3 linked regions of the Rhinolophus ferrumequinum genome follow. The protein of the gene in region 3 interacts with the protein of the main gene of each other region in a pairwise test. Links are inferred from orthologs where the notes say so. Each region holds a gene or a part of one and is shown on either strand. Other genes may lie near its edges.

Region 1 (3,751 bases), on a different chromosome or scaffold from region 3:
GTCAAGATTAAATCCTCCACCCTCTCCTTCTTGCTCTATACTTAGCTCTGGCTGAAGCGCTATACTGTATACTGCAACATCAGGCAGCTGCTTCATTCCTTCTCATAAAACATTCCACTCTGTCTGTATATATAGTGTCTCGTGCTAGCCTTTCAATAAGTTCTTTCTTATCAATGCCCGAAGTTGTTAACCCAAATAGAGAACCTGGGTATTTTTTTCCCTCTCCTTTGCTTCCAATGTGTAGTCGAGTCTCTCTGAACCACTCGCGTTAGAGGTGAATAATTTTAGTCAATTTCTTCATTCCTACTTCCAAAGTCAGGGCTCTTTGATCTGAGCCCTAATCACCCAGTACGGCCTCATTTGACTTATCCAAGAGCTAAAACAACTGCTAAAATCTTTTCAGGGTCTGCTTTGTCAATCCACTTCACTTCTTTGAAATCTACATGATTACATACCATAAGCCACAAGAAAACTGTTCAGTAAAGATTCAAAGTTTGCTAATATGCATGAAAGAAGTACTTTGGAAACTAAATTATGCTATGATTTACCCGCTACCCTCACCCTATCCATTCCTAGTTACACCTTAGCTCAACTCCACTCAGATTTTGCCCATCCAATATTTACTGTCCAATCTTTCAAAACATTATTTATGCCTTGCTTCCTCTTCTTGGAAATTCCACAATTCTCTAAACACGACATTTAACAGTTTACATCTATAAGTATTCAGCGACCAGAAGTAGTTAAGAGCAAGGGGCTCTGGTACCAACTGCCTGAGTCTGAGTCTTGTTTACACTTCTTATAAGCAGTAACTTTGGGCAAATTACTTCCCTGTTTCAGTTGCTATGACTATTAGAGAAGGATAATAACTGCACTCACCTCAAGAGTTATCACCGTGTTTCCCTGAAAATAAGACCTAGCTGGACAATCAGCTCTAATGCGTCTTTTGGAGCAAAAATTAATGTAAGACCCGGAATTCTATTATATTAGACACGGTATTATATTATATTTTATATCATATTAGACCCGCTCTTATACTATATTAGACCCAGTATATATTATATTATATTAATTATATTATATTATATGACCCGGTCTTACATTATAGTAAAATAAGACCGGGTCTTATATTAATTTTTGCTCCAAAAGGTGCATCAGAGCTGATTGTCTGGTTAGGTCTTATTTTCGGGGAAACACCGTATATGGATTTCTTGAGTTGATACATGCAAAACATTTAGAACTGTGTCTGGCACACAGCAAGAACTGTAAATGTTTGCTATTATTATTTAAGTTTTAAGGATTGGTTGTTTTTCCTATTTTAATTCCTGTATTTATTTTATCTATCCTTGTCTTTTTCCGCCATTTTGACATTTGGTTAAATTGATCCAATCTGAAATATAAAAATCAATTTTGCTTAACGTTGGGTGACATAACTCACTTTCACCTGAACTGTTATAATTCCATTGCAATGCCACTGTGCCCCTCACTCAAATCATCTAAACTTCTAGATGGTCTTTTTGACTGCAATTTTGTCCTGTCGAGTCTTTCTTTCACCAACGTATTCTTCACAGGACAGTTAATGTAACCTTGAAAAGTAAGAGGCACAGCTGATAACTGCTACCTGTGCTCCATAGCTTCCCAACACTCACAAGGTAAAGAAAACAACTCCTTAATCTGGCCTAAAATTTCCTGCATGTTAATGACCCGCCTACATTTCCAGGCCCATTTCTTGCTACTTGCCTTCAGGACATAATGAATTATCTTTAGTTCTTAAAAATCACCATGGGTTTTTGGTTTTTGCCTCTCAAACTTCTGAACTCGCTCTTCCCGCAGTTTATGTTGTTAGGTTCCCCACCCTCCCACCTACCCTTCAGTCTCTAGGACCACTTCCCGCAGAAGCCCACGTTAAGTTCCCCGAGGTGCGGGCGCTTCCAGCGTCACCGCACGTAGTACGCTGTATCCTAACTGCTCGCTTACGTGTCTGCGTCTCCCACCCGCCGGCTTTAAGAGAGAATACGCCGGATTTCTAATCCGGTTCCCAGTGCCTAACGCAGAGCAGACGCTAAGGGAATGAATGAGCGCGAGAGGTGGATGCCCTCCGGCGCTTCTCTGGCGCCCCCGCACGCCCAGTGCCTCGGCCTCGGCCAGGCCGGGAGAATCAGGTGGCCTTACCCTCCCGGCATGGCTCCCCAGTGTCCCTGTACCTTCATGCGCAGCAGGTTCTTGGACAACTTGGTCTTGCGCTCCGCTGCCATGCTGGCTTCCGCTAGGCCCCGCGCTCCTCCAGGAGCCCCACTGCGCACGCGCGCTGCTGCGTACGCAGCGGCGTCATTTTACGTAGAGCGCGTCTCCGTGCCTTGTGGCCCCGCCCCTGCTTCTCGTGGGCGAAGGCGTCAGGGGCTCTTCGCGTGTCGCCTCAGGGAGCGCATGCATCTCCTAGAAGCTCAGGGTAAGGGCGCGACCGCCCGCCACGGGGGCAGAGAATCTTAACGCCGGGAGGGAGACCCCAGAGAGGCTGAAGCCGGAGGAGGGCGGAGCTCTGGTCGCTGCGAGCTGTCGGCTGCCTTCCCCTGAGGGCTTCAACCCGGCCCCTCAGGCTCCGCACGGGGCAGAGCGACCCAGGGCCTGGCAGTGGCGAGTCCCACCCCGCTTACGGACTCAGTCCTGTCGCGCGTCGTTGACTCAGTTGTCCTCGTGAGACCTTTGAGTCGGTTGCCTCCCCATCCTTTTCTTTCACGTGTTTCTAACACGGATGGCGGGCTATGTTCTGCATCACATGACGTGTAATAGTTCATTTTATGTTCACGATAACCCTGTAGGGTGGTACTGTTCTTATCCCCGTGTTGCAGTTGAGGAAACTGAGGTAGAGGGAGGGTCCTTCGCTAGTTCGAAGTCAGACTGAGGGAGGTGGGTGTAAGCCCTGGCGCTCTGGCTTCAGCAATACAATGGAAAACCATGTTAAATTCACCTGTTAACTGTTGTGTGCGTCTTTGAACCGAAATGATCTTTCTGTTAAATAGGAAGAATAGCAAGAGATAATCAAAGATACATGAGGGCGAGAACACAACCTTATTTCCAATTAAATCGTTGAAAAGATGATAGCTTCAGTGCTCTGTACCGCTAAACATTTTGCACACCTTTCACAGGTGCCACACTTTGGGAAACACCCAGCCTAATGGCATCTCAGCTGATAACATGCGCTACATGCCAAATTCTTGTGCTGGGTACCATACGGGTATTATTTAATCCTCGGAAGAACCCTGAAAAGGTGTTACTGTCATCATATATTTAGGGAATCGGAGGCCCAGAGAGGTTAAGGGACTTGCCAGAGTTCTCACAGCAAGTAAGTGTTACGAGGGGAGATTCGGAAAGCTTCATGAAAAGGTAGCCCTGCCTCGGAAGGTTTTCTCACTGGATTAAATAAAATTACAGTTTGGTAAGTGGTTATCAAAACTCATTCATTCACCACACTGTGTGAGACACTGGGCTAAACTCTGTGCTACAGTAGTTCAGAAAAACACATGACCTCCTTTGCCTGGGGCTGACATTCTGGTGAGTGCCATGGAAGAAAGAAAATGAGGAGGTGACAGTGACTTTGGGGGTTACTTTAGATAAGATGGTCTGAGATGGTTCTTACAAGACCATCGTGCTAAGGCCTGAAAGTTAAGAAAAACCTGCTGTATGAAGCATGTTCTAAAAAGAGGGACTAGCAACTGCAAAGGTCCTTAAATGCGGATGCGAGTCGTCATAGAGT
Region 2 (3,751 bases), on a different chromosome or scaffold from region 3:
AACCATCTGCAGTACTAATAAGGTGCCTGGAACGTAGCAGGTAGTACCTGGTAGCTATTCTGTCAAGCTTTTCTTTTGAGTGATCTCAATTTTTTACACATTTGCACAGATTAAATGCCATCACTGGATAAAAGGATGTCACCAAAAAACTAATTTCTCAAATGATAATCAAATTTTTTAAAAAAACTAGTTTCAGATGTACAAAACAATGTAATAGGTATTTACAGCCCTCACAAAGTGATACCCCCCCACAACCAAATTCTTAAAAAATTAAAGGTGGTGAGGATTTGATACATTATTTGATTTCAGTACATTTGATGTTCTTAAATTACAACTGAATCATTAAACGGGTCGTATTCAATAAGAGATGAAAGCTCTTGGGAAATGAAAACAAATACTAAAAAACTGACATCTGACTTGCCTAATCGACAGAATTAAAAGTGTATATTACAATCTAATAAGTATACGAAGCTAATTTGGCAACTCAAATCTCATTAAGACATATTAAACCTACCGCTTTAATTCCGCAAATCACTGTAGTATTTCCCAGCTTCACTAAAGCAGAACCATCTGCAGTACTAATTGAACCTGAAAAGATAAGCAAGCAAAATGAAAAAGTCCACAGTGTTTTCATTTATCTTGTTACATATCTTAGTTTATGAAAATTTATTCCTAGCTCAACTCTTTAAAGTGGTATGATTACTGTTTTAAGAATTATATACCTGTCTTTGAATTTGAGTTAATCCTTTTCATTCAGTCACAGGACTGTTGTACAGGTAAAAATCTCTTGACACAAAAATCACTGGAATCTCTTAAACATGGTAGAATTTGGCTGAAATACTGTTTAAGTGGCTTAGAGGCTAAAACTTGGGAATGCCACACAGGTAAAACTGGAAAACTCCATGTTTGTAACAGAAAGTTTAATAAGTTTAAGACATAAAACCATGTCTTAGAGATCTGGAAGGAAGGGGCGGGGAGGGGGGAACGCTCTGTAGTTACTTTAAAATGGAGAACATATCAATTGAGAGGACTTAAAAAAAAACAAACTACAAATAAAAATACTAGTATTAAAAAAACAAGAAACATTCCAGTTTCAAAACTGAAGCAACTTCAACATTCTATTTTAGAATTCAAAATATACTCACCTATGTTGACAGTTGTGGTTCTGAATTCACCAAGTTCTCTTCCATCAGGACGGCAGTTCTCTTTCTAAATAAATATATATGAAAGATTACATCTACATGTATATTTTACATACAACCAGGGAAAACACATTAAACCTTGTTAATTGAAATTACTTGAAATTTTTTTTAGGTATAATTGACATATAACAGTTTCAGGTGTACAATGTAACAATTCAATATTTGTATGTCAAAAATGTCTTTAAAAATGTTATTATCAAAAGTTATAACATGTACATAATCACCTTTACTCACCAAAAATCTCCTGAAATACTCCAGAGGTTCCACAGTTCTGAAATGTTAGCAATATATCCGAGGTAAGTTAATGAATCTTAATATAAATCCAGAAACTGTAAAAGATCTTAAAAACGTAGTCATGCAGTATAAATCTCCACAATGTGTGACTGTTTCCTTCATAAATTCTGACACTTATGTTGCCACATAACTAATTATAAGAAGTAGATACCCTTGCTGTAGCAATCACTCAACTGTCCTTAACTCTGCCTTAAACAATTTCAGGACTGGAGTCCAAAGCCCTTGGACTTCTTTAAAAGGATTAATCCAGGTGTTAATGGCACTCTCCCCCGGAAGCAGGGATTCTCGGCACAAAAAAAAAAGTTACATCTTTATTTTTCACCATCCTATAACTGAAATTTAGCATATTCTTAAATTCTGACTGGGTAATATTAGCAATACCTGTGACTCTTAACAACCACAGACATTAAATGTTTTCGTTTTTACTTAATAGTTATTGAAGGTAGGTTCAGTTACTTTGAAATTCCACTAGTTACTAGACTCCCCACTAGATCTTGTTTAATTTTAAAACAAGTATGTGTACATCACCGTATCGTGAACTCGGGAATTTATAGAAATAGATAAGTGTTTCAATATACTTGGTTTTCTTCGGAATCCTACTTATCCCTTTAAAAATTTGGCTCCGAGAACGAAAATCTATAGGCTTCACCAGAGTGCCACACAAAAAAGCTTAGCTAAAAGCGTCCGTGCAAGGCACAATCCTTTTAGAAATAAATTATGGAGGGAGAATAGAATGGCACGTGGTTCTGATGCAACACTTTTTAAAATACAGCTGTCTCCTGGGGCTAAATGTCCACTACACAAGGCACACGCGCTCCGCAGCGGGTACTGAACTCAACGTATAGTCTTCTTTTCCATCTTCCCGTCTTAGTGCCGGGGAGAGGCCCCCTTTCCTTTCACTACAACCACCTCCAGGTCCTCCCGCCCGTCGCCTGCTTCCGCGAGAGAAAGTGGGAAGATGGTGGGGTGGCCTCCAGGTGAGAAAATCCCAGCTAAGGGTTAAAGGAAGCCGCCATCCGTCAGGATACAAACTCGCGCACAGCCGCCGCCAACACTCACTTGAAACCAGCCGCCATCTTCCCGCCCGCGCGCCTGCGCGGGGGTAGGACACTGCGCCTGCGCCTGCGCCTGCGCCTGCGCGGAGGTTGGGGGAAGGACACTGTTGTCTACGTGCCGCGCGCCGTCTGGGCCACCGCTTTCCGCACGGACTCCAGCGCTCTTCTACGGCTGCAGGAGACGCAGAAGGCCAGGGCATCGCTAGGGTGCGACCCGACCCTTCGCTTCAACAGTCACTAGCCAGACGCACCTGTAGGTTTCTTTGCATTCTACGCGTTTTGACGAGTCTGCTGTTATAGAAGTGATAGCTTCTCTGTTTACAAACAGTTCAAGAGTTTAAGAGAAAATCGACCTTATAGCAAATAATCCAGTATTGAGCGTGAAGCATTATCCCAATGTTCTTAATCCAGTGTTTCTGCGTCCTTTTCCTGCCCCCTCTTAGGTTATGCCTGGGTTTTCCTTCTCCCAGGTAAAGAGCTCCCTGCTTCAGCACTGGAGATTACATATATTTTCTTCGCGCTCATTCTCCGCACCAGGTTACACTTTTCAGGACCTTGGGCGGGCTCCACAGGAGCTGCTTTTATTGTAGGTTGCGTGGTGGGGTTGCCAGATAAAATAAAGGACATCCAATTAAATTTGAATGTCAGATAAGCAAAGAGTAATTTTTTACTATGAGTAAGCCCCAAATAGTGTATGTTAGTCGTTGTTACCAGGGGCTGGAGCAGGGAAAGTTTTAGAAATAGTGATGATGGTTGCAGAAAATTGTGAATGTAATTAATGGCACTGGATTGTGCATTTTAAATAGGAAAAATAGCAAAAAAAAATTTCAGTTTTAAAAAGTTAGGTAACATACCAAAAACTTTTAAATGTGTGGGTTGAATGGTATGTGATTTATATTTCAATAAGGCTGTTACAAAAAAAACTTAGTTGCTTATCTGAAATTCAAATTAAGTGGACGTTCTGTTTTCACGTAGTGCTAATTCTGGCAACTCTGGAGCAGAGCGCCTGGCTGGCAGACAAGACCCAATGTGTTCTCGCCGCGCGAGGGCGCTGTGGGCGGCGGGCGCAGCCTCTCCGCCTGCAGGAGGCGGGGCTGCGGGACGGCTTCCGCATGTGTGTAGGTGCTGGGGAGGGCGGCGGTGCAGCCGGCGCACGGAGGATGGCTTCGCTCCCGCTGCAGCTCGTGGTGCTCGGCGCGG
Region 3 (3,751 bases):
GAACAGCTAAACAAAAATCAGTGTTTGTGTACTGTCTGTCCTAATACATTTATTAGAAGGCTAATACTTGTGGCTCCGCAAGTTGTGAGAGAATCTTGGATCTAGGTTTTCAAGTCCTACATTAATTCAAAAAGATTCATTGTCTGTAGGTGCAAAAGTCAAGATATTTTAAAAGTTAAACTCAAAATTTACCAAGTTTCCCTAATCAAAATCCACTGTCTTATTTTTACATTTCCATAGCTCTGAAAATTATGTTCAGAAAAAACACATTTCAGGAAAAATTACCTCCTTTTTTATATTCATTTCTTTCAACAGAAGAAAACAGTATATAGCACTTACCACTGAAGCAACCTGTCTCCCTGTGTTTCACAAAATGCCTGAAAGCCAGGAAAACTTCGGTAAAAATCATACTCATCGCCAAACTGTGGTAGGCCCCCAGATGCTTTGGTGACTGCTACCACCGATCCAAGAGCAAACTGTCAAAAACCAGAAAACCAAGCACGTTTTAAACATGGATCCCCATTCACTCAGCAACTCATTTTTTTTTCAACACCTATTATATATAGTAACACATTGTGCTCGATGATGAAGATATCCAATCCCACAAATATTCACTTAGTGCTGATTTTACCCCAGGTCCTCAGGGTACAATGGTGAACACAAAACTAAGTTCTAGAGCTTACATTCTTGGGAGAGTGGGGAGAGGAAGAACAAATACACGTATGAGTAATATTCTAACTGGCCTGGGTTTGAATCGTGGCTCGGCTACCTATTAACTGTGATCTCGGGCAAATTATTTCATTTATTTGGACCTCAGTTTCCTCCTCTGAAAAATCGGCATTATTTAAGTGCCAACACCATAGAGTTGTTGAAAGGATTAAATGAGCTAATAAAATCACTTAGGATAGCTGCTGGCACAGAAGTGCTATTATTACTATTACTACTCAAATTCAGATCCATGAGTTTCCTACAGGAATTAAGTTTTGTGTTTTCATTTGGATGAGCATCTAAAAACAATATAAGAATATTCTAGATCCTTTGGATGACCAATTGATAATGGCTACTGCCCACAACTGGACTTACGTTTATGGTTCAGTTAGTGCCAAGTAGTCCTCTGTTTTAATTGTTGTGGGGTAATGAGAAAAAAACCTGAAGTGGTTGTCCTAGATAAAAAAGATAGTTGGTCATGTGAAGGCCAAATGCCTTCACTGTGAGTTGCGTAATAAAAGTTTTCCAAGAAAAAGAAGAGAGAAAGGAATCTGAGTTATGGTGGGGTAGACCTGGTAGCTTATAAGCATGAACACACCCAATCAGGACCATGGCTAGTGGTCCAGGAACTACCAAAGCCAAATAAATAAGTTAATAATAGCATCTGCTAACAATAAAGTAGGTATGTGAGTGTAGTTTTTGAGAATTTGTAGTGCTAATTTAAAAATTATTTTAGTTTCATGATTTTATAAGAGCTATGCATAAGGCGTTTAAAATAGTTTTATGTTTGTTCATATTTAAGCAGCATTATACAAATAACTAAACGAACCCTCTCTGTGTTCTTTCGAGGAGGCATTGATACATATTCTATGGTACCTAGAGGAGGGAGACTCAGTGACAGCTTGCACAGGTGACTTTAAACCCAGGTTTTGGGATTATGTAGGACTGGACCTCAGGAGTGAGAAGAGGCACTAAAAACTATCTTGGCCGCGGGAGGCGAGGATGTAGGAAGGCAACATAAAGCAGCCGAGCCCCTCGGGAGAGTTGGTTGGGTGGCTCAGGCCCGGGCGGGGGCGAGCTCGCGAAGGCTGGGGCATCGGCGTGACAAGAAAGCCCTTCCCACTGTGGAGGGGGCGCTCCACACTCAGGGCTGCATGGGCTCAATTAGGAGAATGAACGCACTGGAAAGCGGGGCTACCTTTAGTGTCCGCGTGCGAGGCCCCATCCCCGGAGGGTGAAGTGAGAGACTGCTTGGAGCGGGCAGCGGCCCCTCGATCCCCGCCCGGGGCTCCGCGTGCGGCCGCCCAGAGGGCCCGGGCCTGCTTCCGGCCCGCCGCTGGAGGCTCACGGCGTCCCCGAGGCCCCGCGAACTCACCTTCACGAAGCTGTCCGCGTCCGGAAATCCCGGCAGCACCATCTCCTCGTCGGACTTAGCCGCGCTCGTAGCCGGCGGGGCCTTCAAGTCCCCGGGACTGGGAACCGCCATTTTTCCGGCATTCACGGCTCTTCTCGCGAGAGTGCCTCGGGCCGACGCGACGTGCGCGCACCACGCATGTGCAAAGGTCGTCTTCGTCGGGCAGGATCTTAAGGGGCGTGTGCGTGAGCAGTACGGTCCTGAGCGCTCCACCCAGGGAACTTTACATTTTTCTTTAACCTCGTATTATATCATCCCAACAGTCCTGTGATTTAGGGTGAGACCCGGAGAACCCAATTATCCTCATATTTAAAGCCAGCTCCTCCCAAGCTGTGGTTCCGTGCCACTCCTACCCGCTTGAACTTGGCTCTTGCAATTATCCCCGTTCTCTGCATCATCTATCTTTTCCCTGGCTACTGGTCCGTTCCTAACAGCCTACACGTATGCTGGCATCTCCCAACTAAACAGACGAAACGAAAAAGCACTACTCCACCCCACTCCTTCTAGCCACCGTCGCCTTTCTCTTGCCCCTGGTAGGCAAACTCCTGGAAAAGGCATCTGTGTGCTCCCACCTTGCGTACCTCCTGTGCCCTCCACCTCCAGTCACGTGTTCCTCTCCTTTACACCCCCGGAACCCCTCTTGTTTAGCCACGTAGTGGGAACTCAAAACATTTGCTAACTGAATGCCTCGAAGCGTTCGTGTTCTACGAGGGAGGCACCATTAGGCAGGTCAGGGGAGGGACTGGGGAAGCTCAGTGGGTATATATTCTAAGATCAGGGGTGGCACACCCTTGATGCAATTCATTTGGCCTAGTAGTGTTCAGTAAATATTAGCTTTTATTGTTATTCAGAACATCCTATTAACAGGATACTTGTTTTTTACTGTTTTCCCCCACTTGTGTACCTCGGGTGCACCGGCACCCTGGCAGAACAAAAGCCTAGCCTAGTTCATTTAACAACTCATATTTCTGAGCACCTGTTTCATACGGTTTGACCTAATGCCACCTGTCCGGCTGTGCTGAGTGCTTTACATGCATCATCTCCTCCTCCTAGTACTATTACCCACTGTCAGAGGAGGAAAGATGCAGCTTCTACCTGTTTTAGAACCTCACATGGTTCCCTGCTGTCCACAGTATCAGGTTCAAACTCCTTGCCGTTGAACTGTGAGGCAGGCCAGTCTGGCCCCACTCTACTTTCTGGCCTCCTTTTCGTTCCTATTCTTTTTATTCCCCACTGACCACTGAGGTAGACCTGCTGACCTGTGAGGTGTGACTATGAAACCACCATTTTATATATAAAACATGGCTGAATACCAGCAATCTAATACGGCTCAAGTTAATACTCACCACTTCTACACCATATTGCGCTTTGACACCTCTTTTCTGCCGAGAATGTCCTCACTTGCTTGAAATGACAAGCTCCCGCGCATCCTTTGAGACACACGGCAAATGTCCCCCTTCCCATGAGGCTTTCCTGCCTTGCCCAGTGGCGTAGTCGTTTCAGAGCCCCACCTGTGGCTCACACCCTGTACGTGGCCCTTCTCACCCCTTCGTGTCGTGGAGTTGTCAGTCCACTCCTGCCTGATACTGTCTCGGCCTTTTCCGGCCTGTGAACACCCCCGAGGAAACA

What was found.
Region 1: the proteins of EXOSC10 (region 3) and MPHOSPH6 interact in binary tests that used the Homo sapiens proteins (3 or more experiments, as listed by UniProt). The link is inferred for Rhinolophus ferrumequinum from reciprocal best matches to the Homo sapiens genes EXOSC10 and MPHOSPH6.
Region 2: the proteins of EXOSC10 (region 3) and EXOSC8 interact in binary tests that used the Homo sapiens proteins (3 or more experiments, as listed by UniProt). The link is inferred for Rhinolophus ferrumequinum from reciprocal best matches to the Homo sapiens genes EXOSC10 and EXOSC8.

Annotation. Positions count from the first base shown.
Region 1 is NC_046298.1:28,029,335-28,033,085, forward strand, and holds the start of MPHOSPH6 (M-phase phosphoprotein 6), read right to left. Parts: upstream 2,338-3,751; 5' UTR 2,253-2,337; coding exon 2,202-2,252; intron 1-2,201. UniProt on the Homo sapiens protein: RNA-binding protein that associates with the RNA exosome complex. Involved in the 3'-processing of the 7S pre-RNA to the mature 5.8S rRNA and play a role in recruiting the RNA exosome complex to pre-rRNA; this function may include C1D.
Region 2 is NC_046287.1:92,681,570-92,685,320, forward strand, and holds the start of EXOSC8 (exosome complex component RRP43), read right to left. Parts: upstream 2,591-3,751; 5' UTR 2,573-2,590; coding exon 2,556-2,572; intron 1,474-2,555; coding exon 1,437-1,473; intron 1,210-1,436; coding exon 1,146-1,209; intron 589-1,145; coding exon 515-588; intron 1-514. Other genes in the region: ALG5 (dolichyl-phosphate beta-glucosyltransferase), read left to right, coding at 3,664-3,751. UniProt on the Homo sapiens protein: Non-catalytic component of the RNA exosome complex which has 3'->5' exoribonuclease activity and participates in a multitude of cellular RNA processing and degradation events.
Region 3 is NC_046292.1:7,453,514-7,457,264, forward strand, and holds the start of EXOSC10 (exosome component 10), read right to left. Parts: upstream 2,242-3,751; 5' UTR 2,195-2,241; coding exon 2,084-2,194; intron 477-2,083; coding exon 340-476; intron 1-339. UniProt on the Homo sapiens protein: Catalytic component of the RNA exosome complex which has 3'->5' exoribonuclease activity and participates in a multitude of cellular RNA processing and degradation events.